Linked DNA regions of Arabidopsis thaliana. The protein of the gene in region 1 interacts with the protein of each later gene in a biochemical or structural test. Each region holds a gene or a part of one and is shown in the gene's direction. Other genes may lie near its edges.

Evidence for each region.
Region 2: the proteins of HSP81-2 (region 1) and TOC64-V form a complex in vitro, tested with the Arabidopsis thaliana proteins (one study listed by BioGRID).
Region 3: the proteins of HSP81-2 (region 1) and TPR2 form a complex in vitro, tested with the Arabidopsis thaliana proteins (one study listed by BioGRID).
Region 4: the proteins of HSP81-2 (region 1) and BES1 form a complex in vitro, tested with the Arabidopsis thaliana proteins (one study listed by BioGRID).

The regions. Positions count from the first base shown.
Region 1 is NC_003076.8:22,684,453-22,691,032, forward strand, and holds HSP81-2 (heat shock protein 81-2), read left to right. Parts: upstream 1-2,379; 5' UTR 2,380-2,470; coding exon 2,471-2,680; intron 2,681-2,898; coding exon 2,899-3,040; intron 3,041-3,146; coding exon 3,147-4,981; 3' UTR 4,982-5,019; downstream 5,020-6,580. Other genes in the region: AT5G56020 (Got1/Sft2-like vescicle transport protein family), read left to right, coding at 134-351, 696-954, 1,063-1,167, 1,644-1,754. UniProt on the Arabidopsis thaliana protein: Molecular chaperone. Involved in RPM1-mediated resistance. Component of the RPM1/RAR1/SGT1 complex. May stabilize RPM1 and protect it from SGT1-mediated degradation. Associates with RAR1 which may function as co-chaperone. Possesses ATPase activity.
Region 2 is NC_003076.8:2,925,322-2,933,048, forward strand, and holds TOC64-V (translocon at the outer membrane of chloroplasts 64-V), read left to right. Parts: upstream 1-2,851; 5' UTR 2,852-2,994; coding exon 2,995-3,236; intron 3,237-3,440; coding exon 3,441-3,593; intron 3,594-3,682; coding exon 3,683-3,807; intron 3,808-3,897; coding exon 3,898-4,023; intron 4,024-4,131; coding exon 4,132-4,314; intron 4,315-4,397; coding exon 4,398-4,542; intron 4,543-4,725; coding exon 4,726-4,894; intron 4,895-5,065; coding exon 5,066-5,203; intron 5,204-5,311; coding exon 5,312-5,512; intron 5,513-5,622; coding exon 5,623-5,750; intron 5,751-5,829; coding exon 5,830-5,881; intron 5,882-6,135; coding exon 6,136-6,205; intron 6,206-6,349; coding exon 6,350-6,429; 3' UTR 6,430-6,700; downstream 6,701-7,727. Other genes in the region: EICBP.B (ethylene induced calmodulin binding protein), read left to right, coding at 1-588, 749-1,331, 1,431-1,775, 1,848-1,970; AT5G09430 (alpha/beta-Hydrolases superfamily protein), read left to right, coding at 6,841-7,497, 7,589-7,681. UniProt on the Arabidopsis thaliana protein: Chaperone receptor mediating Hsp90-dependent protein targeting to mitochondria.
Region 3 is NC_003074.8:5,728,976-5,738,411, forward strand, and holds TPR2 (TOPLESS-related 2), read left to right. Parts: upstream 1-2,543; 5' UTR 2,544-2,733; coding exon 2,734-2,813; intron 2,814-2,898; coding exon 2,899-3,078; intron 3,079-3,157; coding exon 3,158-3,271; intron 3,272-3,359; coding exon 3,360-3,518; intron 3,519-3,601; coding exon 3,602-3,779; intron 3,780-3,868; coding exon 3,869-4,001; intron 4,002-4,137; coding exon 4,138-4,253; intron 4,254-4,377; coding exon 4,378-4,510; intron 4,511-4,592; coding exon 4,593-4,702; intron 4,703-4,881; coding exon 4,882-4,951; intron 4,952-5,054; coding exon 5,055-5,125; intron 5,126-5,209; coding exon 5,210-5,305; intron 5,306-5,373; coding exon 5,374-5,466; intron 5,467-5,552; coding exon 5,553-5,680; intron 5,681-5,807; coding exon 5,808-6,042; intron 6,043-6,146; coding exon 6,147-6,305; intron 6,306-6,401; coding exon 6,402-6,497; intron 6,498-6,598; coding exon 6,599-6,748; intron 6,749-6,844; coding exon 6,845-6,955; intron 6,956-7,077; and 13 more. Other genes in the region: AT3G16820 (F-box and associated interaction domains-containing protein), read right to left, coding at 1-199; AT3G16840 (P-loop containing nucleoside triphosphate hydrolases superfamily protein), read right to left, coding at 9,045-9,103, 9,203-9,284. UniProt on the Arabidopsis thaliana protein: Transcriptional corepressor. Negative regulator of jasmonate responses.
Region 4 is NC_003070.9:6,686,312-6,692,120, forward strand, and holds BES1 (Brassinosteroid signaling positive regulator (BZR1) family protein), read left to right. Parts: upstream 1-2,223; 5' UTR 2,224-2,368; coding exon 2,369-2,427; exon of another isoform or gene 2,428-2,522; coding exon 2,523-2,793; intron 2,794-3,110; coding exon 3,111-3,854; 3' UTR 3,855-4,100; downstream 4,101-5,809. Other genes in the region: AT1G19340 (Methyltransferase MT-A70 family protein), read left to right, coding at 1-23, 109-208, 348-487; RRA3 (Nucleotide-diphospho-sugar transferase family protein), read right to left, coding at 4,361-5,476, 5,730-5,809. UniProt on the Arabidopsis thaliana protein: Positive regulator of brassinosteroid (BR) signaling. Transcription factor that activates target gene expression by binding specifically to the DNA sequence 5'-CANNTG-3'(E box) through its N-terminal domain.

The DNA.
Region 1 (6,580 bases):
ACGACGGTCCCTTGACAGAATCTTCATCAACGCTCGATTTGACGTCTGCCGATTTCCTTAGCTCCGACGTAAACCACTGATCGTCGGTATTCAGCTATATTTTGATTTCTCAGCTCCAAAAATTCCCAACGAAATGGAGAAAATGGCCAAAGGATGGTTTCCGATGAGCGGCACTAGTAGCAGCGGAGATCAGCAGCAGCAACCGCTGCAAACAGGAGGAACGTCTCTGCTAGCTGATTGGAATTCTTACGCAGCATCGAGAGATTTTGAAGAAGACACCGGAACTTTAGGCTTCGATATCGAATCCGCCGTTAGATCTGCCAACGACACTGTTTCCGGCACCTTTAATGTGTAATCCATCCATCTCTTTCTCTTAATCTTTAGGGGTTTAACGATTGATCGTGACCGTATCTGAGAAATTAGGCGTTTTCGCCTGCTATTGAGGATTGGATTGGTGTAAATTAAATCTGGAATCTGAGAAATTGTGATTAACCATATAGTTTAAGCTTTGCCAGATTCGTTGATCAGATTTACAAATTCTCAGGGTTTGAAGCTATTGTTAGTGAATGATTTTGATTAGTGTCTTCTCTCAATGACTTAGAATTGATTAAGAGTCTTAAGCATATCTTTTTCTTGAAGTGTTACTAACTTTTTGATTTTGAATTTTGTTGTACTCAAATCTGGATTGTTAACAGTGTTTCGAAAGGAGTTAGAGATAACCTGCAGTCTGCAACAAGTAGTATGCCTTCAGGAAAAGCTTTGATGTATTTCGGTTTACTTCTAGCAAGTGGTGTATTCTTCATCTTCATTGCCTTCACCATGTTTCTTCCAGTCATGGTGCTTATGCCACAGAAGTTTGCAATTTGTTTTACCCTTGGATGTGGATTTATCATCGGATCTTTCTTCGCTCTTCGTGGCCCGCAAAATCAACTCGCTCACATGTCATCGGCAGAGGTAATAACTAATAACAAAACCTTGTGTTGTGCAGCTTCTTATATCTGCTGTATTTCGTTTACATTTTTCTCTTTGGAATTTTAATTTCTTGTTTGCTGGCTTCTCCAGAGGCTTCCACTAACTTTAGGTTTCATTGCCACCATGGTTGGCACCATATATGTCTCGATGGTGCTCCATAGCTACATTCTCTCTGTGATTTTCTCTGCATTACAGGTACTTAAATTTCATCTTCCTTCCCGACTCTTGTTGGTGTTTATATCCTCTGTTTTTCATATGTTAAAATTTTCCTCTTCCCCATTTCACAAATCTTACCTATGAAGTTCTTTTTTACCCTGCATGTTTCATCTAGTAAGCTCTTGCCTCGTCGAAACATAATGTGTTTAGTAAAAAACATGTAGACTTTCTTATTGCTGTTTTAAAATACAAGTTGGGTTAGTATGAATTATGAAGAAGCCTTGAACGCCATATCTTTGGTTGGTCTCTTGGCTTGTTTTTGCAAATGCACTTACTTGCGACAGAAACAGCTTTGATATATTATTACTCACCCGTTATCGATATGGAATATATACTTTAAGAACTCACTAAATCATATCCTTCATGTCGGTTTAAAGATTAGTCACGTATCTGCACATTCTGTAAGTATAGTAATCTCATAAAAAACCTGGTCTCTGTTCTCTGTGAATCCATAGGTTATTGCACTGGCGTACTACTGTATATCATATTTCCCTGGTGGATCATCGGGAATGAAGTTCCTCAGTTCTACTCTTACCTCCTCTGTCTTCCGAATGTTTGGGAGATGAGCTTTCGCTTTGACCTATGCAAAGAAAATAACTTGATTCTCTCGTGTATAAAGAAAGATGAAAGATCTTCAACAGTGGTTAAATGACAAATCTGGTAAAATATGTTGGTCCAATGGCTCAAAGACAGTTTTGTTATAAATTTCCTATATTGATACTTTCTGCTAAATTGGTTCAAAACTTCAAATCACTAGCCACTGGATGAGGTATGGAACTTGAAGAGTTGCTTGGTGGATACATTCTCTAATCTAGGGTAAGTCGTTAGCTTCAATGTCTTACTGTGAATTATTACATCAGAATTAAGAAAGTTATTACACGTATGTTTTCACTGAGTTTACTACACTGGCAATGTGGCATACATCTCTTACTGCAAATTGCAGACAAGTGGTCAATCAAATCTTTTTTAGTTGGGCCCAAAATGTCTGTTATTGGATACGTTGGGCCTTAAAATGGCCCCCATCAGTCAAAAACATCACTGCTTGGAGAAGGATCTAGAAAAACTTGCAAGTTAGTTCAAACAAAATAAAGGAAAAAGAACGATCTAGAAGAAAGAAAAAAAAAGGAAAAGAAACCCTTATGGAGGTTCCCACACCACTCTATATATAATAACATCCTTCTCCTAAATCCCGCATCAGTACTTCTCTCTGCTCTCAAGATAATTTTGTTCTCTCAATTTCATTCTTAAACCCTAGTTCTTCGATTTTTTCCGATCTACGACAATGGCGGACGCTGAAACCTTTGCTTTCCAAGCTGAGATCAACCAGTTGCTTTCCCTCATCATCAATACCTTTTACTCTAACAAGGAGATCTTCCTCCGTGAACTCATCAGTAACTCTTCTGATGTACGATCTCTATCTCTCTCTACCTTATTGTATACTTGTGTATCTCGTTTGATTGATTTGGCGGATGGATCTGTAGATTTAGGTTTGGTTAGGGTTTAGTGTTCTTTCCGTTGGGAGAATTTTGGTTACTTACTGAAGTTGCGAAGCTTTTTGTGTACAAATCTATTGTTTAGGTTTAGTGTTGATACCAAGGATTTAAGTAGTTTCTTGTTAGATTACCAAGTTTTCGATTGCTTATAGTTGATTTGCATACATATTATGTGTATTGTTTGCTTACGATTGTGATTCTATTCTGGTGAAAACAGGCTTTGGACAAGATTAGATTCGAGTCCTTGACGGACAAGAGCAAGCTCGATGGTCAGCCTGAGCTCTTCATTCACATCATTCCCGACAAGACTAACAACACCTTGACCATTATTGATAGTGGTATTGGCATGACCAAGGCTGGTACGTAATTGATTTCATCCTAAATCAATTTGTTTCGATTTTGTTGTTGTTTGTTAGTCTTGCATCTGTGTTTGTTTTGTTGGCTAATTCGTGCTTCTTCTATTAGATTTGGTCAACAACCTTGGAACAATTGCAAGATCTGGAACCAAGGAATTCATGGAAGCACTGGCTGCTGGAGCTGATGTTAGCATGATTGGTCAGTTTGGTGTTGGTTTCTACTCTGCTTACTTGGTTGCTGACAAGGTTGTTGTTACTACCAAGCACAATGACGATGAGCAGTACGTGTGGGAGTCTCAGGCCGGGGGATCTTTCACTGTGACCAGAGACACCTCTGGGGAGACTCTTGGTAGAGGAACAAAGATGGTTCTTTACCTCAAGGAAGACCAGTTGGAGTACCTTGAGGAGCGAAGGCTTAAGGATTTGGTGAAGAAGCACTCTGAGTTCATCAGCTACCCAATCTCTCTCTGGATTGAGAAGACCATTGAGAAGGAGATCTCTGATGATGAAGAGGAGGAAGAGAAGAAGGATGAGGAAGGCAAGGTTGAGGAAGTTGATGAGGAGAAAGAAAAGGAGGAGAAGAAAAAGAAGAAGATTAAGGAGGTTTCTCATGAGTGGGATTTGGTGAACAAGCAGAAGCCTATCTGGATGAGGAAGCCAGAGGAGATCAACAAGGAGGAGTACGCTGCTTTCTACAAGAGTCTCAGCAATGATTGGGAGGAGCATTTGGCTGTGAAGCATTTCTCTGTTGAAGGACAGCTTGAGTTCAAAGCTATCCTCTTTGTTCCCAAGAGAGCTCCTTTTGATCTCTTTGACACTAAGAAGAAGCCCAACAACATCAAGCTCTATGTCCGTCGTGTCTTCATCATGGACAACTGTGAAGACATCATCCCTGAGTACCTCGGATTTGTGAAAGGTATTGTCGACTCTGAAGATCTTCCTCTCAACATCTCGAGAGAGACATTGCAGCAGAACAAGATCCTCAAGGTCATCCGCAAGAACCTTGTGAAGAAGTGCCTTGAGCTCTTCTTTGAGATTGCTGAGAACAAGGAAGACTACAACAAGTTCTACGAGGCTTTCTCTAAGAACCTGAAGCTCGGTATCCATGAGGACTCCCAAAACAGAACCAAGATTGCTGAGTTGCTCCGTTACCACTCAACCAAGAGCGGTGATGAATTGACTAGTCTCAAGGACTACGTGACAAGGATGAAGGAAGGTCAGAACGATATCTTCTACATCACTGGTGAGAGCAAGAAGGCTGTTGAGAACTCTCCATTCCTTGAGAAGCTCAAGAAGAAAGGTATTGAAGTTCTCTACATGGTTGATGCGATTGATGAGTACGCTATTGGTCAGCTTAAGGAATTCGAGGGAAAGAAACTTGTTTCTGCAACCAAGGAAGGTCTGAAACTGGATGAGACCGAAGATGAAAAGAAGAAGAAAGAAGAGCTCAAGGAGAAGTTTGAAGGACTCTGCAAAGTGATCAAAGACGTTTTGGGTGACAAGGTCGAGAAGGTTATTGTTTCTGACCGTGTTGTGGACTCACCGTGCTGTCTTGTAACCGGCGAATACGGCTGGACTGCAAACATGGAGAGGATCATGAAAGCTCAAGCCTTGAGAGACAGCAGCATGGCTGGTTACATGTCGAGTAAGAAGACAATGGAGATTAATCCAGAGAACTCCATCATGGATGAGTTGAGAAAGCGAGCTGACGCAGACAAGAACGACAAGTCTGTGAAGGACCTTGTGCTTCTCCTCTTTGAGACCGCTCTTCTCACTTCTGGTTTCAGCCTTGATGAGCCAAACACTTTCGGAAGCAGGATCCACAGGATGCTGAAGCTTGGACTGAGCATTGATGACGATGATGCTGTTGAAGCCGATGCTGAGATGCCTCCCCTTGAAGACGATGCTGATGCCGAAGGTAGCAAGATGGAGGAAGTCGACTAATTTATCACACAAAAGTCGACTAAATTATTAGCGGTGTTATAAGACTATGGTTTTCTTTTTTTCTTTTCGTTAAAACTTATGTTATTTTGGTGATTATCTTCACGAATTTTTTCTATGGTTTTATTGTTGTGAAGATATTTCTCTGAACTCGGTTTTATGACAAAGATTCTATTATGCTCAAGAGACTGATTCTTACATATCCAAGCTGAATTTTGTCAGGGTATTAGTAGTAACCTAGTTATGATTATATCTTCCTAATTAGAATTTAGAATAACAAATTATAAGAAAATAGAATAACACAGAGATCATATCTTCTGGCATACATATCTTGCTGTGAATTATATTGCATCCGAATTAGAAAAGTTGCCACAGTTAAATTGAAATGTTTTCACTAAAAAAAAAAAAAACTACGCTGCCAATTGCCAATCTCTTGCTGCAAAGTGCAAACAAATGGTCAATCAAATTTTTAGATGGGCCCAAAATGTCCGTTGTTGAATACTTTGGGCCTTAAAATCGACCCATCAGTCAAAAAGACTCGTCAATATTAGAGACTGGCTTTTTTGATACAAAAGATCACCCAATAATGCAAGATTAAGCCTAAATTTATTATTTTGTCCCAAAAAAAAAAAGCCTTAATTTATTAATGTAATCAAAATTAATTAAGGGAAACCCCACACTGCTTTTGCTCTCAAAATTTGACCGTTAGTGGAGACTTATTATATAATACCACGAACTTGGCGTTAGTGCAAGTGAAACTCTTTAGTCTTTAGTTAAAACTTAAAAGCAAAGGCTATGTTAGGTTAAGACAACGGAGCCTATTGATTAACTTATGTAATTTCTTTTCAATAGTCGTATTTTCCTCTCTTTTTTTTTTCTTTTTTTTTTGGCACCTTCCTATTTTCTTACCAAATTATTATTGTTCAGTATTTTGTATATAGGAGTAAACTGAGTGATTACCATGATTTCAGCTAATATTTAACGATTATACTCACCTAATTTACAGTTAGCTAAACTGAACTTTCTAAAGCATCATATATACCCAAGCATGTATTCATATTTGGGAAAATTTTAGACTAGCAATATACTCATTCAGAATTCATATAAAGTTAATTTGAGGCATTTGATGTAAACAATTATTGATGTACTTTATTTTATTTTTAGACTTTAATTAGAGTTTAACTAATGTGAGCGAGAAACCCGAGTCCTGGAAATACGGAAGAATATTTGACCCTTTAATTTACACCTTTCATCACACGTAATATCATCCATTTTATATTATGATCCACAAACAGCAAAGGCCCATTAATCTCATTATATTTTAGATTAATTGATTGCAATTGCCCAACTTCTCCACTCAGCAATGTTAGTTTTAAAGACACATCAAGTTAGTGTATTTTATTTTTAATCTTTCTATAAAAAACAACACTTTGTTTTTGTCTATTTCTTATTCTGTGAAAAAGAGAAATGAAAAAGTAAAAAAGATAACAAAAAGGCTGGTTTTTCACGGTGAGAATTTTTCATGGTCACGCAATAACTTAAATATGAACTATTAAAATAACTAAGATTGAAAAATTAGCATGATCAAAAGAAGAAGAAAAA
Region 2 (7,727 bases), about 20 Mb from region 1:
AGATGGTGTTCTTTGCTGTCATGCTCCACCGCATACAGCTGGTCACGTCCCCTTTTATGTTACATGTTCCAACAGATTTGCTTGCAGTGAAGTACGAGAATTTGATTTCCTTTCTGGTTCTACCCAAAAAATCAATGCTACAGATGTTTATGGTACCTATACAAATGAAGCATCACTTCAGTTGCGGTTTGAGAAGATGCTTGCTCACAGGGATTTTGTTCACGAACACCATATATTCGAAGATGTTGGGGACAAACGAAGACAAATCAGTAAAATTATGTTGCTAAAGGAGGAGAAAGAGTATCTCCTTCCAGGGACATATCAGAGAGACTCAACCAAACAAGAACCAAAAGGACAGCTTTTTAGGGAACTGTTTGAAGAAGAACTATATATATGGCTCATACATAAAGTGACTGAAGAGGGTAAAGGTCCAAACATATTGGATGAAGATGGACAGGGTATTTTACACTTTGTTGCAGCGCTTGGGTATGACTGGGCCATTAAACCGGTGTTAGCAGCAGGAGTTAACATTAACTTCCGTGATGCCAATGGCTGGTCTGCCCTTCATTGGGCTGCGTTTAGTGGCAGGTATGGACCTCTATCTCACATATCTTCAATTTCCTTTAATCATAATATTATTATTTGAGATTTTGCATTTCGTTTAAGATGCTCACATTGATGATGCTTTAACTCTATTATTTGGTCAACATTGCCATATCAAACTAACTCCTTTTCCTGTTAACTATAGGGAGGAAACTGTCGCTGTGCTTGTCTCTCTAGGTGCTGATGCTGGGGCATTAACGGATCCATCTCCAGAGCTTCCATTGGGTAAAACAGCAGCTGATTTGGCTTACGCAAATGGACACAGGGGAATTTCGGGATTTCTTGCAGAGTCTTCCTTAACTAGTTATCTTGAAAAGCTAACAGTGGACTCAAAGGAAAATAGCCCTGCCAACTCTTGTGGAGAAAAAGCTGTTCAAACAGTCTCTGAGCGAACCGCTGCTCCTATGACCTATGGCGATGTACCAGAGAAACTTTCCTTGAAGGATTCACTTACTGCTGTCCGTAATGCTACGCAAGCGGCTGATCGTCTCCATCAAGTATTCAGGATGCAATCATTCCAACGGAAACAGCTGTGTGATATTGGCGATGATGAAAAGATTGATATCTCCGACCAGTTAGCTGTTTCTTTTGCAGCTTCTAAAACTAAGAATCCAGGACAGGGTGATGTCTCTCTTAGTTGTGCTGCTACCCATATCCAGAAGAAATATCGTGGTTGGAAGAAGAGAAAAGAGTTTCTTTTAATCCGACAAAGAATCGTTAAAATTCAGGTTTGCCTTTCATTGAGTTTTTTTTTCTCCCCCTTATTTCTTTGCATAAGTCTTTTGTCTGGTTTCTCATTGCTGGAATCATATTACATTTACCTTTAGGCTCATGTGAGAGGACATCAGGTCCGGAAACAATACCGAACAGTCATCTGGTCTGTGGGATTACTCGAGAAAATCATTTTGCGTTGGAGACGCAAAGGTAATGGTTTGAGAGGGTTTAAACGCAATGCAGTCGCCAAAACCGTGGAACCGGAACCGCCTGTATCAGCTATATGTCCTAGGATCCCACAGGAAGATGAGTATGATTATCTTAAAGAGGGAAGAAAACAAACAGAGGAAAGGCTACAGAAGGCTCTGACTCGTGTTAAGTCGATGGTTCAATACCCAGAAGCACGGGATCAATACCGTAGACTCCTAACGGTTGTTGAGGGCTTCCGTGAAAATGAGGTACCCAAGACCCATAACATAATCAGTTAATCATATTTTGTTGAGCATTCTTGTGATAAATTGTTGTTGCAGGCTTCATCAAGTGCATCTATAAACAATAAAGAAGAAGAAGCAGTCAACTGTGAAGAAGACGATTTTATTGACATTGAGTCTCTTTTGAACGATGACACATTGATGATGTCTATTTCTCCTTGATTTTACTTTCTGACTCGTATTCATTTTTCCTTCTTTTACTTTCTAACTTTATTTCTTCTCTGTAAATACCATAGTTGATATTTACCGCTTAATTTATTACTTGGATTGAAATAGAATTATTCACTATTTTCTTTCGTCTTAACAATATATAACTTTTTTATTTGTTCATTTGGCTTTTCTCTGCTAATATTATATAGCCAAGTGTTGGATTACTCTGATTCATATTTGTATCCGTATTGAATATTCTTCTCTTTATTAGCTGTTTTCTGCAATTTATACATCATATTTGTTTTGGTCAAACTCATACATCAGTCATATTGTTATAGTTTAAATTTGAATGGTAGTATGATATTGAGCTAACTTTTAAAGGTTATAAATCCGGGTCGACATGCCATTTTATCTACCAAATTTGGATTGGTAAACCATTAAAGCTATAAAAAAAACTTAACTTGGATTTTCCTATAATCTGAAGATAAAATTGGATTGACGGGCAAGGCTACAGAAAATGGAAACTTAACAATAAATTATAGCAGTATATATTTTAATTTTTTCATTATTATATTGAGGTTTTTAGTGGCTTGACTAGCTTAAAATCTATTTTTCCACGAGTGGAAAAGTTCATTAAGAGAAGAAATGGCCAACAAAAGAAATTATAAACCTAAATCAATTTGTACAAGCTTATTAAAAAAAATTGAAACGAGTAATTCTAATAAATAAAGGAATTAAAATTAAAATTTCCATTTTTCTTAATTTAATTTTTTTTTTTAATTTCTTTATCGATTTCGTAAAGACAATTATTAATCAATCAAAAAGAGAAGATTCGCCTTGGGCAGACGGACTTGAGTTCACGGCTGGCCAAGTCATCACTCGTAATTAAAAGGGTTTAGACACAGTGCGCACGATAGCATCTGTGTTTGCTTCTTCCAAATCTCTCTCCTATTTTTCTTTCCCCTTTTCTCTCTTAAACCCTCCTAAAACCCTTGTCTCTCTCTCTCTCTCTCTCTCTTTCTCGTGAGATCGCGTTATGTCGAATACGCTTTCTTTGATTCAAAGCAATGCCTCGAATCCCAAAGTTTGGGTAGTGATCGGCGTGACGGTGGCCGGGATCGTGATTCTGGCGGAGACCCGGAAGCGGCGGATTAGAGCCCTTAGAGAAGAAGACTTTGGTGCTTTCTTAGATCGTTTCGAGCTTCTTCCTTTCCCTCCGCCTCCTCCTCCTGCTGCTAAACAATCTCTCTCTGGTCTTACCTTCTCCATCTCCGACGCGTATGTATCTCTCTCTCTCTCTCTCTCTCTCTCTCTCTTAAAAATCATAACCTATTTTCAAATTTGTTTTTTCCTGCTTTATATAATGATCTCGCTTATAAAGTTCAAAACTTTTGTTTGGTTTAATTGAGATTTTGACTTGCTTAGACGAAGTCATGTTGCAATGAAATGAATAAAGTTATATCGGGGTTAATGGTTTGACAGGTTCGATGTTAAGGATTATATCACAGGATTTGGTTGTCCACAATGGAAGAAGACTCATGAGGCTGCTGAGAAAACTGCTGTGGTTGTCACGACGCTCTTGAAAAATGGAGCTACTTGTGTTGGCAAGACTATAATGGATGAGCTGGGTTTTGGGTATCTCTCCACTCCTACCATTCTGCATATGAAATGACCTTTCGGTAGTTGGTTTGAAGAAAGTTTGTGTTTTGAATGTGATTTTACAGGATTATTGGAGAAAACAAGCACTATGGAACTCCTATTAATCCATTGATGCCAGATAATGTTCCTGGAGGATGTTCCAGTGGCTCAGCAGTTTCTGTTGGGGCTGAACTCGTTGACTTTTCACTTGGTATTGTTAATCTCTTCGTTTTCTCTTGGTAATGTGTTTCTTGGATTACGTTTGGTTCTTTATGCTAATCAAAAGATGCTTGATTTGCAGGGATTGATACCACTGGTGGTGTTAGAGTCCCAGCAGCCTTTTGTGGTATTCTTGGTTTTCGACCATCTCAGGGGACTGTTTCTTCAGTTGGAGTTTTGCCCAATTCTCAGAGCCTAGAGACTGTTGGTACGTTACATTCCCCTCCCTTTTAGTGTTTTTAGTGTAGTTTCAATGGTACATGCTACTCTAGGTGTTTGCCTTCCTGATTATTGAACTCATTGATTCGTTCTGTAGGATGGTTTGCCTCTGATCCATCCGTTTTGTGTCAAGTTGGACATGCCTTACTAAATCTGAGTGCAGTAACACATAGAAGGCAAAGATCTTTAATCTTTGCTGATGATTTATTCGAGCTCTCTGACATTCCTAAGCAAAAGTCGGTGCAAGTTGTCAGAAAGGCAATCGAGAATCTATCTGGCTGTAAGTTTGCAGCTGTATTGTTTCCTTCTCTTTGCCCTTCTCCAGATTCATATCTTATGTCTCTTGACCACTGGCTCATGCAGACAAGACTCCAAAACATGTTAACGTTGGCCAATATGTCGCTTCAAATGTACCAAGTCTTGCGGAATTCTGTGAGCAATCTGGGAAATCCCAAAATTCAGCATCAACTTTAAGGGCTCTTTCATCTGTGATGTTGGCTATACAAAGGTATTTAAGAAGCTCACACTTCTTGAAATTTTCACTGCATCAATACTTTTTTCTCTCTCTCGTTCCTTTTAAACGGGTGCAATAAAAGATTGTTGTTATTCCCTCTTTGCTGGAGGTTACTATTTTCTTCTTAAGTTGTATTATATGCAAATATCGAAGAAGAAAGGATTTTCTTTTTACCAGGCATGAGTTCAAAACAAATCATGAAGAATGGTGGCAAACATGCAAATCGTTTCTAGGGCCAAGATTTTCCAATGATGTTGTTACAGCTCTGAAGAGCAAAAACGAGAGCATTAAATCCCTCTACAGAGTGAAAAATGAGATGCGGGCCACCATTCAAAGCCTTTTAAAGGTAAACTCGATTTTTGGAAATTTAAAATTTTCACAGCCATTAGTGTCTTGAGGACATTTTGCCACCAAAACACTGAAGTCTGAAGAGATTGAATTATTAACTTTCATTTTTGCGGCTTCTTTTTAGTTCTATGGTATTATGATTAACCATAGATCGGTATCTTATTACTAGGAAGATGGAATTCTGGTAATCCCCACAGTTGCTGATCCCCCTCCAAGGCTTAACACAAAGAGAAATAAATCTTTGAATGAGTTTCTTGATCGTACTTATGCACTCTCCTGCATTGCAAGCATGTCTGGATGTTGTCAGGTATATTTCCATCTCCTCTTTCTCATTCAATGGTTGGGGAACATTCTTGTTGCCTTTTCCTTACTCTTCAGTCTTTAGTCATGACACAAATATATACATATTCTTCAGGTTACAATTCCTTTAGGGGAACATGGTGATCGTCCAATATCCGTGTCGCTTCTTACTTACTATGGAGGTGATAAGTTCCTTCTCGATACAACTCTCGATGTATATGCATCCCTTCAAGACCAAGCCAAACTTGCATCCAACTTAGCTCCAGTGTCTGACACCAATGGTAACATGGAGGCTTCTGAAGTTATGAAAGAAAAGGTAAAACTATCTCTTTGAGTTTGACAAATAGTATATTTGGTTCTGATCCATGATATGCTACTGGAGTTGGAATGTTCTCAAAGTTAACAGTGGATAAAATGTAATTCCAGGGCAATGCTGCATACAAGGGGAAACAATGGAATAAGGCGGTAAACTTTTATACAGAAGCTATAAAATTGAATGGAGCAAATGCTACTTATTATTGCAATAGAGCTGCAGCTTTCTTGGAACTTTGCTGGTAATTGTTCTCTTCATATCTTTCATTCTGATCTGAATATAATTTATTATGATTTTCTGATCTGAGAGTTTGTTTATAGCTTCCAACAAGCCGAACAAGATTGTACCAAGGCCATGTTGATCGATAAGAAGGTGAAAACTTGATTAGCTGCCTTATTTCTCCATCCCTCGTAGTTTGTTTTGTTACATTGTGTTTTTAACATGGTTTTGTGTTTAAGTACACTTGAGCTGGAACAAAACTATTCACTTTTTATTTATTTGATTTGCGGCGTAATACCTTTGTACTATGACTATCTAGTTTCATTATCACTCAGATCACTCACTATAGACACAATGACGCATTATTTGGAAGCTTTGATTCTTATAATAGTTATTTGTTTCTACAGAATGTGAAGGCATATTTGAGACGAGGGACTGCTAGAGAATCACTTGTACGGTACAAGGAAGCTGCTGCAGGTATGATGATTAAACTACTCTGAGATTGTAATTTTATCACATTGGAGAAACTTGTTAAAAGATAAAATTCATCTAGCTATCCAGATGAGTTACTCTCTCTAGTAGGGTATTGGAGCGTAACATTATGGTTGATCATCTCTGCAGATTTCAGGCACGCATTGGTCCTTGAACCACAGAACAAGACGGCAAAGGTTGCTGAGAAGAGACTCCGAAAACACATATGAGTTAAAAAGGATTATTACTCGATTTCTCTTGTTCACCAATCTATCTTTTCACTTATCTAAAACCCTAAAAAGGAAAGGTTTTGCTCCGGTTTCAACAGACTAATAATTTAGTGGTTTTGTGACATGTGTACAGATTGGGATGAAAACTTCTACCTCTAATTACTTGATCTGAAAAGTTTTATGGGGTCCTTTTAGCTTCTTTGTTTTCTTAACGGTCTTTTACGTAAATTACAATTTCCCCCAAGTCCAATACTGTAATTCCTTAAATTACACGGAGGGACCCATAAATGACACGTTTACAATCAATTTCTCGACAAATAACTGAATTCGTTGTTTGTTTTTTTCCTCTTCGTCATCGTCACGCCTCCGTATCTTCTCCTCTGTTTCATTTTTGAATTATTCGAATCAAAAATGTTTGATCATATGAAACTGCTGCGATGCTTCAGCTTCACGGCGTCGCGAGATTGGTTATTCCGGCAATCATTCGCAAACGCCGGTCTACGTTCCGTAACGACAGATCTCTCCCACGGCAATTCAATCGCATCAACAGCTATGCATTGTTGGATTCCTAAATCCCCGAATCGATCTAAACCTAATCTCCTCCTCCTCCACGGATTCGGCGCCAACGCAATGTGGCAATACGGAGAACATCTCCGAGCTTTCACCGGCCGATTCAACGTCTACGTTCCCGATCTCCTCTTCTTCGGGTTATCATCCACATCGGAACCAAACCGAACCGAATCTTTCCAGGCTCGGTGTCTGATGAGGTTAATGGAAGCGCACGGAGTCCAGAGGATGAACATCGTCGGGATTAGTTACGGTGGATTCGTTGGGTATAGTTTAGCGGCGCAGTTTCCGGAGAACGTTGAGAAGCTTGTGCTGTGCTGCGCAGGGGTTTGTTTGGAGGAGAAAGATATGGAGGACGGATTGTTTAAGGTGCCGAATCTAGAAGAAGCTACCGGAATTTTGATTCCTCAGACGCCGGAAAAGCTTAAGGAACTCATAAGATTCTCTTTCGTTAAACCAATCAAAGGTGTTCCTTCGTTTTTTCTCTGGGATTTTATCGATGTAAGTTTTTTCCTTTATAATAATGTCTTTGTTTGTTTGTTTGTTGATAAATGTTGGAGTTTTGAGAAATGTTGTTCAAAATGTTGAAAAGGTAATGTGTACGGAGTTTGTAGAGGAGAAGAGAGATTTGATCAAATCAATACTCAAAGATAGGAGACTTTCTGATCTTCCTAGGATCAAACAGGTACAAACCTTTATTCGGATTTTAATTTGCTTATGTAAATTTCGCA
Region 3 (9,436 bases), on another chromosome or scaffold:
ATTCCGTCATTATTACCACCTGAAACTCACTTTCCCTTGCTGCTGCGTTTGCTTGACCAACGTGCTTCTTTGTAAAGCTCTCGTCTTTGGATATAATGTTCCATTTTTTGCAAGTAGATCGCACTGTTCTCAGAGATGTCACCGGAACTCTAGAGAGCACCTCCTCTACCAAATCCCTAGGAAGATCTGAAATCGCCATTGTTGAATATGTTATATGTCATACTACAAATCAAGTTACCTTTAGCAGTGAAACAAAAAAAATAAAACTCTTTTCTTTTCTCTGCCTAGCTAGGGCACACCCGGTGGTATGCAACAGAAAATTTATATTTTCTGAGTTAACTTAAGATATAGATTTTATTATGTTTGATATCTTGAATTTCCTTGAATTGCTTTTTTAATTTAAATAATTTGACATATGATTTTCAATAGTGGACTTTTTTTAGCGAATCTCATTAATTGATCATACGATGGGTCCTATTAGTGACCATTATTTAGAAAATGAATGCACAGGAACAACATGTTGTTCCTCTTTTTTTCACCATCATTAGTATTTTTTTTCCAAATTGTAATATGTAGACCCCACAATATTCCTAATCATTCTTTATTTTTTGAGGAATGGTAGAAGAAAATTTTTCCTTCCCAAATTTGATGAGGAACAAACAGGAAAAAAAATTAAATATTTATTAAATAAAAATTAAATTTATGTTCGTTTTATATTTAATATTTAATTTGAAAAATAATTTATTTATTTTTTAATTTTTGTTACTATTTATTCTATGTTTTGGTTATCATTTACAGTAACATTTGTTCTATTTTTCCTTTATATCCATTCCTTTTCATTCCTATTTTATCATTTTTTCTTTTCCTGTTTGTTCTTTTTTAGTCATGTTCTTCTTCATTCCTTGTATTCATTTATAGGTCACCAATCGGACCCGATATGTTGATTTAAAGAGAGTGGACATATCAATTCTGGTAGCTGGTAAAAAGCATCTATTTCCTTTGCTTTCAAGCTCATGTGTTACACAAACATGTTATAAAGTCATTTTTTTGTTTTTCATATGCAAAGAGAACAACAATTGTATCATGGACAATACAGAACTTCTTTATTTTCATCTAAATAGCAATGCTAAAGAGAGCTTCTAAGGAAAAAAGTGTCTAAGATGTATTCGGCTGTTTCAAAAAAATATTGGAAGAGCCAACGAGAGATTACATACTAAGTGAATAATAATGGTCTGACATACAAATTAATGATCAAACCATTATTATGTCAAGAGCGAGGCAACCATATTCGATTAATTAGTTCGCACTGCTCTAAGAGATGCTAACGGGACCCTAGAGAGCACTTCCTCTTCCAAATCTCGGGGAAGATCGGACATCGCCATTGTTGAATCTCTCATCTCCAAGTTAGGTCAAAGCTTCTACAACTCTTTTCGTACCTTCCGGCTATATATGTAACAGCAATTGAAGACACAACTCACTGGGCTAAACCTGGGCTTCAGTTATCAAGTCGGCCTCTTAATGTGGGACCAATACATTTTTTGTATTTGATCGTATAGCAAAAACAAATGATTAGCACCATGTGGAAACATTAGAGAGTTTGTGTAATTAAATTTCAAGTTTCTTTTCTGTCTTGTTATATACATAAAAATGGTTACAGTAACCTTGTTTTTTCTAGTTATCCTCATATGCTCCAAAAACATAGGAGAAAACATAATCATGAACTTTTTGACCAATAGTATTGTTAGGACTTGAATTCTCTTAGATTTGTTAATTGATGATGAATTCTCTTAGATGTTTATAACACTATGAAAATCATTACTTAAAAAAAAAAAAACTAAGATGATCCATCAGTCACACTTTAAATGTTTTTTAAAATATGTTCATATGTTTTGTTTATGGCATTGCGTACATAATTTAATTAGACTAATTATAATATCGATCAAACAAAGAATTATTGGCTGGATTTGGTCGCAGCCATTAGCAGTCGCTCTCAACTAATATTATTACGAGAATCTCTAGCTGAGCAAGTATCTCGTATTTCTCACGCTCTGACGAAAACTTCTACGAGATAGACGCAGATATCGAGACCACGTCATTCCCCCTAACAAGGCAACAACATGTGGCGGACGCCAGTAAAACTCTGCTCAATTCACTTCAATTCCATTTTTCGAATCCGCGTGACGTAACCCACCTAAGGGTTTATAATCCACTACTTTGCACCCCCACCTAAAAATGCATCACAAGCGCGACAAGTGTCAATACAATTCAGATACGGAGAATACTCTGAGATCCCACATCTGCTTTCGGTGGGCTCACCCGCATCAGATAAAAACCCTAAGCTAAGGGATCAGACCAAACAGTTTAACCAAACGAGGTTATCAACTTATACGACAACGAAAGCACTTATCAATGATAAGTTAGTTAACTTATCAAACTACAGTCTGTGTGACAAAACGCATCGAAGAAAGTGGAGAACAAGTCGTACTTTTTTCTTTATCTTTTTCCTTTTTTATTAAATGAAAAAATATAAATAGAAATTTTGTAGCATCTCTGGGGTCAGCTTTTTCTTAATGTTCGCTTTGCGACGCGAGGAAATGCAACCTTGAAACCCTAGAAAACTCATTCTCAACTACGACTAAATCGATTTCGCAAACTTTGACCTACCCTTCTTTCACGATAAACCCAGATCGCTTAAATTCCTTGAATTTCTTCTTCTGAGAGTTTTAGGAAAAAATGTCGTCTTTGAGCAGAGAGTTAGTTTTCTTAATTCTCCAGTTCTTAGATGAGGAGAAGTTCAAGGAATCTGTTCACAAGTAAGTTTGTGCTTTGTCGTTTTTGTGTGCTTGTTTGGTTTCTCTGCGTAATTTTGGGTATAATTTGGAATTGGTTGATGTGTAGGCTAGAGCAAGAATCTGGCTTCTTCTTTAACATTAAGTACTTTGAAGAGAAAGCTCTTGCTGGAGAGTGGGATGAAGTGGAGAAGTATCTTTCTGGTTTCACTAAAGTCGATGATAATCGTTACTCTATGAAAATCTTCTTTGAGATTAGGAAGCAAAAGTATCTCGAAGCTCTAGATCGGTAATGATTTCTCTTCTTGTTTGGTCGGATATTTAGACTAGTGTTGTTGATTTGATACATTTGTGTGTTTTTATTACAGAAATGACAGAGCAAAAGCTGTTGAGATATTAGCCAAAGACTTGAAAGTTTTCGCTACATTTAACGAGGAGCTTTACAAGGAGATTACTCAGCTGCTTACTCTGGAGAATTTTAGGTTTCTTTTTTTTTTTACTTTGCCATTGATATTATTGAAGTTTTGGTAGGTGGTTACGATAATGTTGAAGAGTGTGTTTTTTTCTTAGGGAAAATGAGCAACTGTCGAAATATGGTGATACTAAATCTGCAAGGTCTATAATGTATACTGAGTTGAAGAAATTGATTGAGGCGAATCCTCTGTTTCGAGAGAAGCTAGCCTTCCCCAGTTTCAAAGCTTCTCGCCTGCGAACTTTGATCAATCAAAGGTGAACTAGGAGGAGTCATAATTCTTTCCTTTTTTTATAGAGATTAGTTAAAGTGTATGACAAGTGTGTTTGGGACATTGCAGCTTAAACTGGCAGCATCAGCTATGTAAAAATCCAAGGCCTAATCCTGACATCAAGACATTGTTCTTGGATCACTCTTGCTCACCATCAAACGGTGCTCGTGCACTCACTCCTGTCAATCTTCCAGTTGCTGCTGTTGCAAGACCTTCAAACTTTGTTCCTCTTGGAGTGCATGGTGGAGTAGGATCACTTACTTAACTTCCACCCATTCTATTATATAACTTAATGTTCATATTTTGAGGGTTGATGAAACAACTGTATCTGTGCAGCCCTTTCAATCTAATCCTGCTCCGGCTCCTAATGCCAATGCTTTAGCTGGATGGATGGCAAACCCAAATCCTTCTTCATCAGTTCCATCTGGTGTTGTCGCTGCTTCCCCATTTCCTATGCAGCCAAGTCAAGGTATAATTTATGTCACAACTTACAAGTGTCTGGATATTATGGTATCTTTCGTTTTTTTTTCTTACTTGTGATATTAGAGTTTTTAGGAAATGAATTTTAAGACCTGAAGTTCTATTGCTGTATTTCGTCTCAACAGTTAATGAGCTGAAACACCCTCGGGCACCGTCTAACTCTCTAGGATTAATGGATTATCAAAGTGCTGATCACGAGCAACTCATGAAACGCTTACGGTCTGCACAAACATCCAACGAGGTAATTGCCTTCAGGTTTTCCTTGTTTTTGAAACGCTTAGTGCTTACCTAGCAAACAAAACTCTTGTTGCTTTTGGAATGTGCGCTTTGATGTTGAGTAGATGGCTCTACTTTTCAAATCACAGGTCACATATCCTGCTCATTCTCATCCCCCTGCGTCACTTGATGACCTCCCTAGAAATGTAGTGAGTACAATTCGCCAAGGGTCGGTGGTGATAAGCATGGATTTTCACCCTTCTCATCACACTTTGCTCGCTGGTTAGTCCATTGCTACCATGAAAAGCTTAGTAGAGTTGAGATTTTTATTTGGCTCTTGTTATAATATGTCTGTTACTCGTAGTTGGTTGTTCAAGCGGCGAAGTCACCTTGTGGGAAGTTGGATCCAGAGAAAAGGTTGTCACAGAACCTTTCAAGATATGGAATATGGCGGCTTGTTCTGTGATCTTCCAGGTTTCTCTCTTCTTCCATCGTTTTTACTTATTTTCTTGATAAAGATAAATTATCTAGAAACATACTTTAACACTAAGCTAATCCAGCCTTGAGTGATTTATGTTCTGTTCTGTTCTATCCTATACTTTAAAACTAAGCTAATAAACTATGATTTTGTTGTGCGGGCATTTTCTCGCCAGGGTTCTATAGTCAAAGAGCCATCGATATCCGTCACTCGTGTAGCATGGAGCCCAGATGGAAACTTGCTTGGTATGGTAGATGGAGATTGTTCTCCTAAAAACGTTTTAAAGATATATAGTTGTAATTTCAAGTAGACACGAAGTTTGAACTTTGTAACATTTTCCATGTACAGGGGTTTCTTTTACTAAACATCTGATCCATGTATATGCTTACCAAGGCTCAGACCTACGTCAACACCTCGAGGTATGTTTAATTGTCTTTTCGTACTTAGTTTCTTGCCTTTGCATCTGCACCAAACTTAATCGATCATCTGTTTCTGTGGATTAGATTGATGCTCATGTAGGCTGTGTGAATGACTTGGCGTTCGCCCACCCAAATAAGCAAATGTGTGTTGTGACTTGTGGGGATGACAAATTGATTAAGGTACGTTAGGATTATGATGACTCTGAACTCAGTTTTATTATCCCGTGTCTAATTATGATATTTCCTAGGTGTGGGATTTGAGTGGGAAGAAGCTCTTCACCTTTGAAGGGCACGAGGCACCAGTTTATTCCATTTGCCCTCACCAGAAGGAAAATATTCAGGTGCAGGCATCTCTTGTTTAAAAAGACCTGAAAAACTTTCCCTTTCGCTGTCTTGTAATTTATTTTTCTCTTTTTTTACTATGCAGTTTATATTCTCAACCGCTCTTGATGGAAAGATCAAGGCGTGGCTCTATGATAATGTTGGTTCTCGGGTTGATTATGACGCACCGGGACAGTGGTGTACAACAATGCTCTACAGTGCTGATGGAAGCAGGTACATCATTGTTATTTGAAAAGCTCTGGAGTTGTATAACAAAATTATGTCTCTGCCATAAATTGAAATCTTCTGAACAAAATATAGGCTCATATCATTATCAAGTAAATATCTGCTATGATTTCAGACTATTTTCTTGTGGGACGAGTAAAGAAGGAGACTCTTTCCTCGTCGAGTGGAATGAGAGTGAAGGTGCCCTAAAGAGGACATATTTAGGCTTTAGGAAGAAATCAGCTGGAGTTGTTCAGTTTGATACAACCCGTAACCGTTTCTTGGCTGTTGGTGAAGACAATCAAATAAAATTCTGGAACATGGACAATACAAATCTTTTGACAGTTGTTGAGGCTGAAGGTGGACTTCCGGTATGACATTCTTGCCCAAAATACTCCTCTTGGCTACTTGTATATAAAATCTTTTGTATTCTCGAGCCTGTTACTTTACTGATGCTATGTACCGTTTATTTCAGAATCTACCCCGATTGAGATTCAACAAGGATGGGAATCTTCTTGCAGTTACTACAGCAGATAATGGATTCAAGATCCTTGCAAATACTGATGGTCTCAGAACCTTAAGAGCATTTGAAGCGCGGTCTTTTGAAGCATCTAAAGCATCCATTGATATGAAGGTCTTGGAATAATTACTCTTTATGTTATCCATGAAATATTTTTATTACTCATGCCTTATGTCCAGTTTAACTCGAGTGTCAATACCGGTGATTCAGGTATCCACCTCCGCAATGGCTTCAAGCATCAGCCCCGCTATTGGTAAAATTGAACACATGGACGCAGGCTCTCCTGCAAGGCCAACCCCAATTCCTGTATGATTTAAATTTTAGTATATCTTTTTCAATATATATATATATATTTTTTCCTATTTCAATAAGAATCCTTATATGTGGTCTCTGTTGGTGTTATGCAGAATGGAATTGAGGCAATGTCAAGAACTATGGAAAAGCCAAGAAACTTGGACTCTGTTGATAAGTCTAAACCTTTAGAGCTCACAGAAATTGTTGATCCGACTCAGTGCCGACAAGTGACAATGCCAGATAGCAAGGACTCTGTTAGCAAGGTTTGTTACCGTCTTAGCTTGAAATTGCCCATCAATTGTTCTGTTTCATTAATAATTATCTTGAAATAATCTTTTGCTGCTATGTCAATCCTTAAGGTTGCTCGGCTTCTTTACACAAATTCTGGCGTTGGTGTTTTGGCTCTTGGATCAAATGGTGTTCAAAGACTATGGAAGTGGATCCGCAATGAGCAAAATCCAACTGGGAAGGTGATTCGTTGTACCTTTCAAATTTTACACTCATGTGGTTTGTTGATATATGTGAGTTGTTGAGTCACTTGTTTGAAGCTCTCTTGCATAAGTGTCTGAAATTTTGTCCTTTTATTGTGAAGGCAACTGCTAGTGTAACTCCACAGCATTGGCAGCCAAACAGCGGTCTCCTAATGGCAAATGATGTTCCCGAGAATCCTGAAGGGAGTGTTCCGTGTATAGCACTTTCCAAGAATGACTCATACGTAATGTCAGCTTGTGGTGGAAAGGTTTCGTTATTCAATATGATGACTTTCAAAGTAAGCAGCTTAATCCAACTTTTTCTGTTCTCGGGAGCATCTCCTAAATACTGATACCTCAGGAGCTAATGAAACTATTTGAGTAATATGCGAAGCTAAATGCATTTTTCCCTTTCGTGCAGGTAATGACAACTTTCATGCCACCGCCACCAGCTTCAACTTTCTTGGCATTTCATCCTCAAGATAATAATATTATTGCAATCGGGATGGAGGACTCGAGTATACATATTTACAACGTCAGGGTAGATGAGGTATAGTACATTTGTTCTATTCTGCGGTCTACTGGTTTTTACTGGTGTAACTGCTGATTCATCTCTTAAATGAATTTGTAATGTAATCTCTTTTAATCTATAGGTGAAAACAAAGTTGAAAGGTCACCAGAAGCACATAACTGGTCTAGCATTCTCTACCGCGCTCAATATTCTTGTCTCTTCTGGTGCCGATGCTCAGGTAAGACAAAATTCATGTTTCTTAGATGCTATTGGAGCTTTTCGTGTCCATGTTGGCTTGTAACTTAACAGACTCGTTAACTCTCTTTATTACAGCTCTTCTTCTGGACCGCTGACTCGTGGGAGAAAAAGAAATCTTCAGCGATACAGCTACCACCTGGCAAAGCACCAGTAGGCGACACACGAGTCCAATTCCACAACGACCAAATCCAGTTATTGGTTTCACATGAGACACAGCTCGCCATTTACGATGCTTCGAAGATGGAATGCATTCATAAGGTATCGTAAAAAATCTTTGTATTTACTTGGAGATCTTGAATGATTATAAGAAACCTTAAATTCTCATTCCTTGTGCAGTGGGTGCCCCAAGAAGCTCTCTCTTCGCCCATAACCTCTGCATCTTACTCATGCAACAGCCAACTGGTTTACGCGTCATTCGCTGATGGAAACATTGCAGTCTTTGATGCTGAATCCTTGAGACTCAGATGCCGCATTGCCCCATCAGCCTACATGCCTCAACCTACACCAAACAGGTACCGTATTTTACAAACTTCATATAAAGTTTATATCATCCATCTGACCATTGTGATTTTTTGGGACTGATTATGCTTTCTTTTTCTTCTGTGATAGTGCACCGATTTTCCCACAGGTGATCACAGCTCATCCACAAGAACCGAATCAATTAGCGGTTGGACTGTCTGATGGTTCGGTTAAAGTGATTGAGCCATCAGAACTTTCTAGAAGATGGGGTGTTGGCGTCGCAGCTGGTTCAGATAAAGCAGGGACTGAAAATGGACGGCCGTCTAGTTCATCAGCGGCTAACAACTCAAGTTCGGATCAGATTCAAAGGTAAAAATAGTTTATGTCAGTTAAGTTAGTTGACATATCTCTTGTTATTTTGGATTGTAAAGTTGTGATAGCTTGTGCTGTTTTTGTAAATGAGATTCTCAAATTAAATCAGTAGGCGCAATAACAGTTTATTTTATATTTTTCGGCGTTTTAACAGTTTTAAGATGGCTATACTCTTGAATGTAGTAGCTCTTAAATCTATGGATTTGTCAAAAATTTGCGATTTACGCGTTTATATTTCGGCCGTCTGATTTGTCCAACATATTCATATTTCGTTTGTGGCCAATGTTGAAATGAGTTTCATCTAAATATCCCCTAAACTAAATTATAATAATGACATGAGCTAGTTGATCAAAGATTTAGGAGATTAAACCGTTCTTTAAAAAATAAAAAGAAGTGACGTACACTAGTTTTACAATTGATGGTTTATAACTCTTATAATAATGTCAAAATCTGATTTGACAAACAAAATTTGGAAAAAGCCAGACGTAATTAAGAAGAAGCCATTAGTTTTCTCTGTTTCTTCTGGTTCCTTCGTTGATCACGCCGACCTGAAAGATGGACAACGCAAGATCATAAACATCTGTTTAAGGAAGGACACATCAGTGAAAGCAAGTTATCAATAAGATCAGACTTATATAAATATATACCTATCTTCTCTTCCTTTCTTTTCTTTTTCAAGCTCGCTATATCGCGCCTCTTCTCTGCACTCTGACCTTTCATTTTCAGCATCTGAACAAAGCGACAACATCATTCATCAGATATGGTCATGCAAACTGGTAATATAGTTCACACCGTCTCAGCAACTAAGAAAGATTGAATTTTAAAGGAAAGATTATCCAAAAAAAACACCCAACACATATTTCCAATCATGGTGATGGGTC
Region 4 (5,809 bases), on another chromosome or scaffold:
TACTAGGCTACCATTTTACCGAAGTAAGTCAATTCATTTTTTTGTCACTTGAATAATCTGAGAAAGGAACTTCTGTTTGAACAGCCATGTTGTGTATACATGTCATAGCTTGCAGGATCAGAAAAGAGGTCAGATTTTAAACTCTTGGACAAGAACCAGATAATCATGAGCATCCCTGGTGATTTTTCGAGGAAACCCCCAATTGGAGGTATTCTTATGTTTATATTTTCAACAGCTTTGTTCTGCGATTGGCTTCATCAAATTCAAGAGTAGATAATGCAATTTTTTCAAATTCTTGGTCTAAAGCTCCCCTGATTCTTGTTTGTTTCCACTTGGACTTTGTGTAGATATACTACTGAAACACACTCCCGGGTCTCAACCTGCTCGGTGCCTTGAGCTATTTGCGAGGGAAATGGCTGCCGGATGGACCTCTTGGGGAAACGAACCGCTTCACTTTCAGGACTCGAGATACTTTTTGAAAGTTTAGTGGGCGCATTCCCTAGGGTGTAACCAAGAAAAAGGCTGGCTTGGGCCCTCATGATCGTTTTTCTCTATGACTCATTCTCAAGCTGGGGACAGTTAGGAGAGAACCCTTGGAAAGAAGTGGAAGGTTCGGTTCATCGCAAACGACATCGTTTGAAGAAGACAACACTAGAGTAAGCCTGAAAAAAGTATAGTGTTACTAAAGATTATTTTGTCTCAGAACTGTACCATCAATTTAGTAAGCTTTTTCCTTTTCCTTTCATAAACAGATGATGTTTCAGATAAAATTTAAATATATTATCAGTACAGTAAGATTACATACTATATTAGTATCACTATTCTGCTATTCACTAGATTTCTTTTTCTTTTTCAACAAAATATGAATAAAATAAAGGCAAAAGCGTGTTAAATATAAATTCAATAAGTGACTACTCGTTGGAAGATCATATCTGCTTTGATGGGTCTATTTGTGGGGCAAATCCACTATCCAGTTTTCCTTTTGTGTTCAATGAACTATACAATTGTCAAAAAAAAAAAAACATGAGAATTAAAGAAAATCATCATGACCAATGAAGAGCAGGTCCCAACAATAATTCCGAATTATAGGCTCTGATTGTTATAGCAATCAAACAATATGCTTACAAATCACAAAACAAAATTAACGATATTTCCAAATATAGAGCTTTCCAGTTTGACTTAATAATGTTGTGTGAATATCCTCACATTTCCATTTTCGACTCTCTTTAGTAAATTTTGAAGTAGTAGAATGATGTAGAATGTTTTGTTTTATCAATCACACAGTTTTGTGAAATCACGATTTCCATCCACTATTCAAGAAAAACATCAAGTGGAAGAAATAATAAACCAAAACCATCGCAACAAAATGCATATCACGAGTATAGAATGAACAAACTACACTGTCAAATACTTAATTTAGGACTTAAACTTCGCTTTCAGACAACTTGGTTCGGAAACTTGACCATCCGTCATGTTGATATACACAATCCATCTCAAATGTAGTAGTGAATCACTATATCAGCATGTGTTATCAAACGCAAGTTGTCACTAAGATCGGAGCTTCTAGTTCAAAATGTTGATAAGTATTACGAAAGTACAATTGAATATACCAATTATACATCCAAACACGTCCATGCTTCTCCACTCGAGTTCTCTTTGGAAATCTATATAATCCGTCGGTTTGGTATTTTACTAGTTGTACGTAGTGTCTCCCCTCATATGTATTGAGTCTTTATAGTTTGTTGCCTCGTATACGATAGAAAGTAAAGGCTAAAAAACCATACTATTTCATAAAGGGTTTATTTAGTTAACTTTTAATCTAAACCATGTATCACTCCATTTTACGTATATTCGTTTTCACAAATAATCTACTAAATAATTTTGTAATGTGATAAAATTAAAGAATAAACACATGATACATAAACAGTCAGGACAAAAGTAAGCACTCATTTTCTTCTATTCATACTATAGTGAAACACTATTTTATTTTTATCCATATACTATAGTGACAAATTAATCTAATCATTAAATGTTATGAGGCTCAAAACAATTTGTTTTCTTATTTAACATGGCCGATCCCCTCATAAACCAATCAGATGGTGTGTTTTCCGGTCATACTCGTGTAGGACCCACTTCATTACAATGGCCCCACATGTCTCTCTATCTTTTTCTCCTCTTTATAAAATCAGCTCCTTTTCTTACACAGATTTAGAGAAACACAACATAAAACGTACTTCTTCTTCAAAACGCGAAACCACACTGTAAGTTACGTACACCACCACCTATCCTCACCATTCATCATCGACACGTGGCTGGTTTAACTCAAATCAACGGTGAATTCTTTTTGCTTTTTTATTTTAAATAATGAATGAAAAGATTCTTCTATAATTCCAGCGAAGAAGAAAGAAAAAAAAAAGCGTATTCCTCGTGAGCACTAACTTCTCACTCATTCTTCTTCTTCAGCTGAATCCAAATACCCATTTCCATTTTTAACCGTGGTTGGATTGTTTTGAGAGTTGAAGGAAGAAGATGACGTCTGACGGAGCAACGTCGACGTCAGCTGCAGCTGCAGCAGCAGCGATGGCGACGAGGAGGAAACCGTCGTGGAGAGAGAGGGAGAACAATCGGAGAAGAGAGCGGCGGAGAAGAGCTGTTGCGGCGAAGATTTATACTGGTCTTAGAGCTCAAGGTAACTACAATCTTCCAAAACATTGTGACAACAATGAGGTTCTTAAGGCTCTTTGTTCTGAAGCTGGTTGGGTTGTTGAAGAAGACGGAACTACTTATCGCAAGGTCAGTATCAAACGCATTTTTACTTAGATCTGATGTTATCTGATGATTTAGCTGTTGAATCTGAAGATTTGGATTTGAAATTGGTCAAATTGGGATTTTCTTGGCTATGAATTCGAGGTTTTTAGCTGAGGAAGCTCAGTTTTATTCTAAAATTGGATCGAGATTCCTTGCGGAGAAAGTGACCTTTAGGGTTCTTCTTACTAATTTGAGAACCGAATTAGCTTTACTTTCACTTGGTTACTATATTTAGATCTCTCCTTTAGCTTTTGATTGATTGTGACATTGTGATGTTTTTGGTATTGTTCTATGAGCAACAGGGACACAAGCCTCTACCTGGTGACATGGCTGGATCATCTTCTCGAGCAACTCCTTACTCTTCCCATAACCAAAGTCCTCTTTCTTCCACTTTTGATAGCCCCATCTTATCTTACCAAGTCAGTCCTTCCTCTTCTTCATTCCCGAGTCCTTCTCGAGTTGGTGATCCACACAATATCTCCACAATCTTCCCTTTCCTCAGGAATGGTGGTATTCCTTCATCGCTTCCTCCACTTAGAATCTCAAACAGTGCTCCTGTCACTCCACCAGTGTCATCCCCAACTTCTAGAAACCCCAAACCATTGCCTACTTGGGAATCTTTTACCAAACAATCCATGTCCATGGCTGCTAAACAGTCAATGACTTCTTTGAACTACCCGTTTTATGCGGTGTCTGCACCTGCCAGTCCTACTCATCATCGCCAGTTCCATGCTCCGGCTACTATACCTGAATGTGATGAGTCTGACTCTTCCACTGTTGATTCTGGTCATTGGATAAGCTTTCAAAAGTTTGCACAACAACAGCCATTCTCTGCCTCTATGGTGCCAACCTCGCCTACCTTCAATCTCGTGAAACCTGCACCACAGCAATTGTCTCCAAACACAGCAGCAATCCAAGAGATTGGTCAAAGCTCCGAGTTTAAGTTTGAGAACAGCCAAGTTAAGCCATGGGAAGGGGAGAGGATCCATGATGTGGCTATGGAGGATCTAGAGCTCACGCTTGGAAATGGTAAAGCTCATAGTTGAGATGAAGTATACATGAACCTGTTATGTCATGTCGGAAGGAAGGATTGGAGAATGAGAATTAGTGTGTTGTTCATTCAGTTCATGGTTTTGGTTCTTGTTCTAGAATCGATATTCATTGTACCAGTGAGTTTGTTTCACAACGCATTATTTGTAGATAGAATGTTTAAGATGTATGTTTCTATTATCATTCCTTTTAGGTCTTGAAAACATTACAAATATATTACATGATTAAGTGGCTTGAAATGTAAATTATATATCGGATGATGAAACAGAGAAAAACAAGTGAGGCTAAAACAAAGACTTGGGATGTAATAACAAGATCAGAGAGGTTAAGAAAGAAAAAAAAGACTTGCGATTTTAGCCATAAGATACACAAAAATTCATAATACAAAGAGGAAAGTAGAAGGCATGAAGCAGTAAACATTGGAAAAGGGAGAAATATATTAGAATCACAAATGTCAAGAAACTCGGAAAGTTTTTTTTAGCCTATCTGCTTTTCAGGTGAATCATTCAGAACCATCGGGGAAGCTATCAAGCGCGTCTTGCTTACCGTTAACGTAGAACTCAACGACGGCTTGCATTCTATTGAGCTTATCTGGATGGTAATTCACATGAACAATCACTGGTTTCACTTTCTTCTTCAGTTCATGATTCTTTCTTACAGTCTTGAAAAGGACCTTACTGTTCATAAACTCATACATATCCATGACTCTCTTGGATGCATGTAGCGCAGTGTACTCAGGATGTGAAGGATAAAACAGTTCCTCGTTGAAAACCGCTTGGTCCCACACTTTAGCCTTAGAGAGTCTATCTGCCACGCGATCAAGCAGCTCGATTGATGGAATTGTAGGCCTCAAATAGAAAAACCCGGAATTGAAAACCCATATCCTCATAGTGTGAGCATACCGAGCCCATCCCATGGCTGGTTCATCAAACACATCATTGAACCCATAAGCCGTATGATTGTCATGGCCATCACTCATTGACTCCACATCAGAGTCTCTGTATAGATGACTAAATGGGTTCTGCAAGAAGACAATGTCCACATCCGAGAGAAGAACACCATAACCGAGTTGCAAGAACTCTCTTAACACACGGAATTTCAATCCAGAGACAGCATGGTTACCTCCAGTTTTCCCAACAGTATCCACGTCCTTGTCTGGATCTCTCTTGTAATACGCAACATCGTTCTCTTTACATAAATTCTCTATGTAATCGTCCAAAGCAACAACCAGATAGTTTGTTATACCCACTCTCTTAATGCTAGCAATCTGAACCTCCAACATTGCTTTCACATTTGCGTTTGCAAGAGCTACAATTACCTCTTTATCAACAGCAATCTCCTCTAGAATCTTTGCCAATCTTGGGTTTATAGATTCATCAGGAAGAATAGTTGGATTAGTTCTCAGACTCTTGACAGTTCCAAAAGGACCAGCCTTGATCTGTGTTCCCAATGCTAGAACCTGTTTTCTTGCATTGTCTGATCCTTGCTCCGCTAACCGTAGCTTCTCTGTTAACTCTCTGACCTGCTTCTTTAACTCTGCATTCTTCTCTGAGAGAGTTACAAAGTCTGATTTTAGCATTTTCACTCGTTCTGGCGATTCACAAGCTGATGATCCAACCTAGACAAAGCAAGTGTGGAATTTATAAACCACTCAACTAAATTCCAAATTAAGATACAAAATCCAGTAATCAACCAAACCAGTATCATGATAAACTTCACCCTAATCTCCAACTAACACATCACCAAGAAGAATTTCTATGTTTAGACACTAACCACTTAATAACACCTATAATGGCAGAGTCAAACATCAATCTATGTAAAACTCGACCACAGAACCACAAAAATTAGAGCTTTAGAGGTTTATGTAGTACCTGGTTGCTTGACTTCGAAAGATGTTCGCTTGCTTTGAGAGATGAGCTTGAGTTGAAGAACCCGTAAGGGAACAGAACGG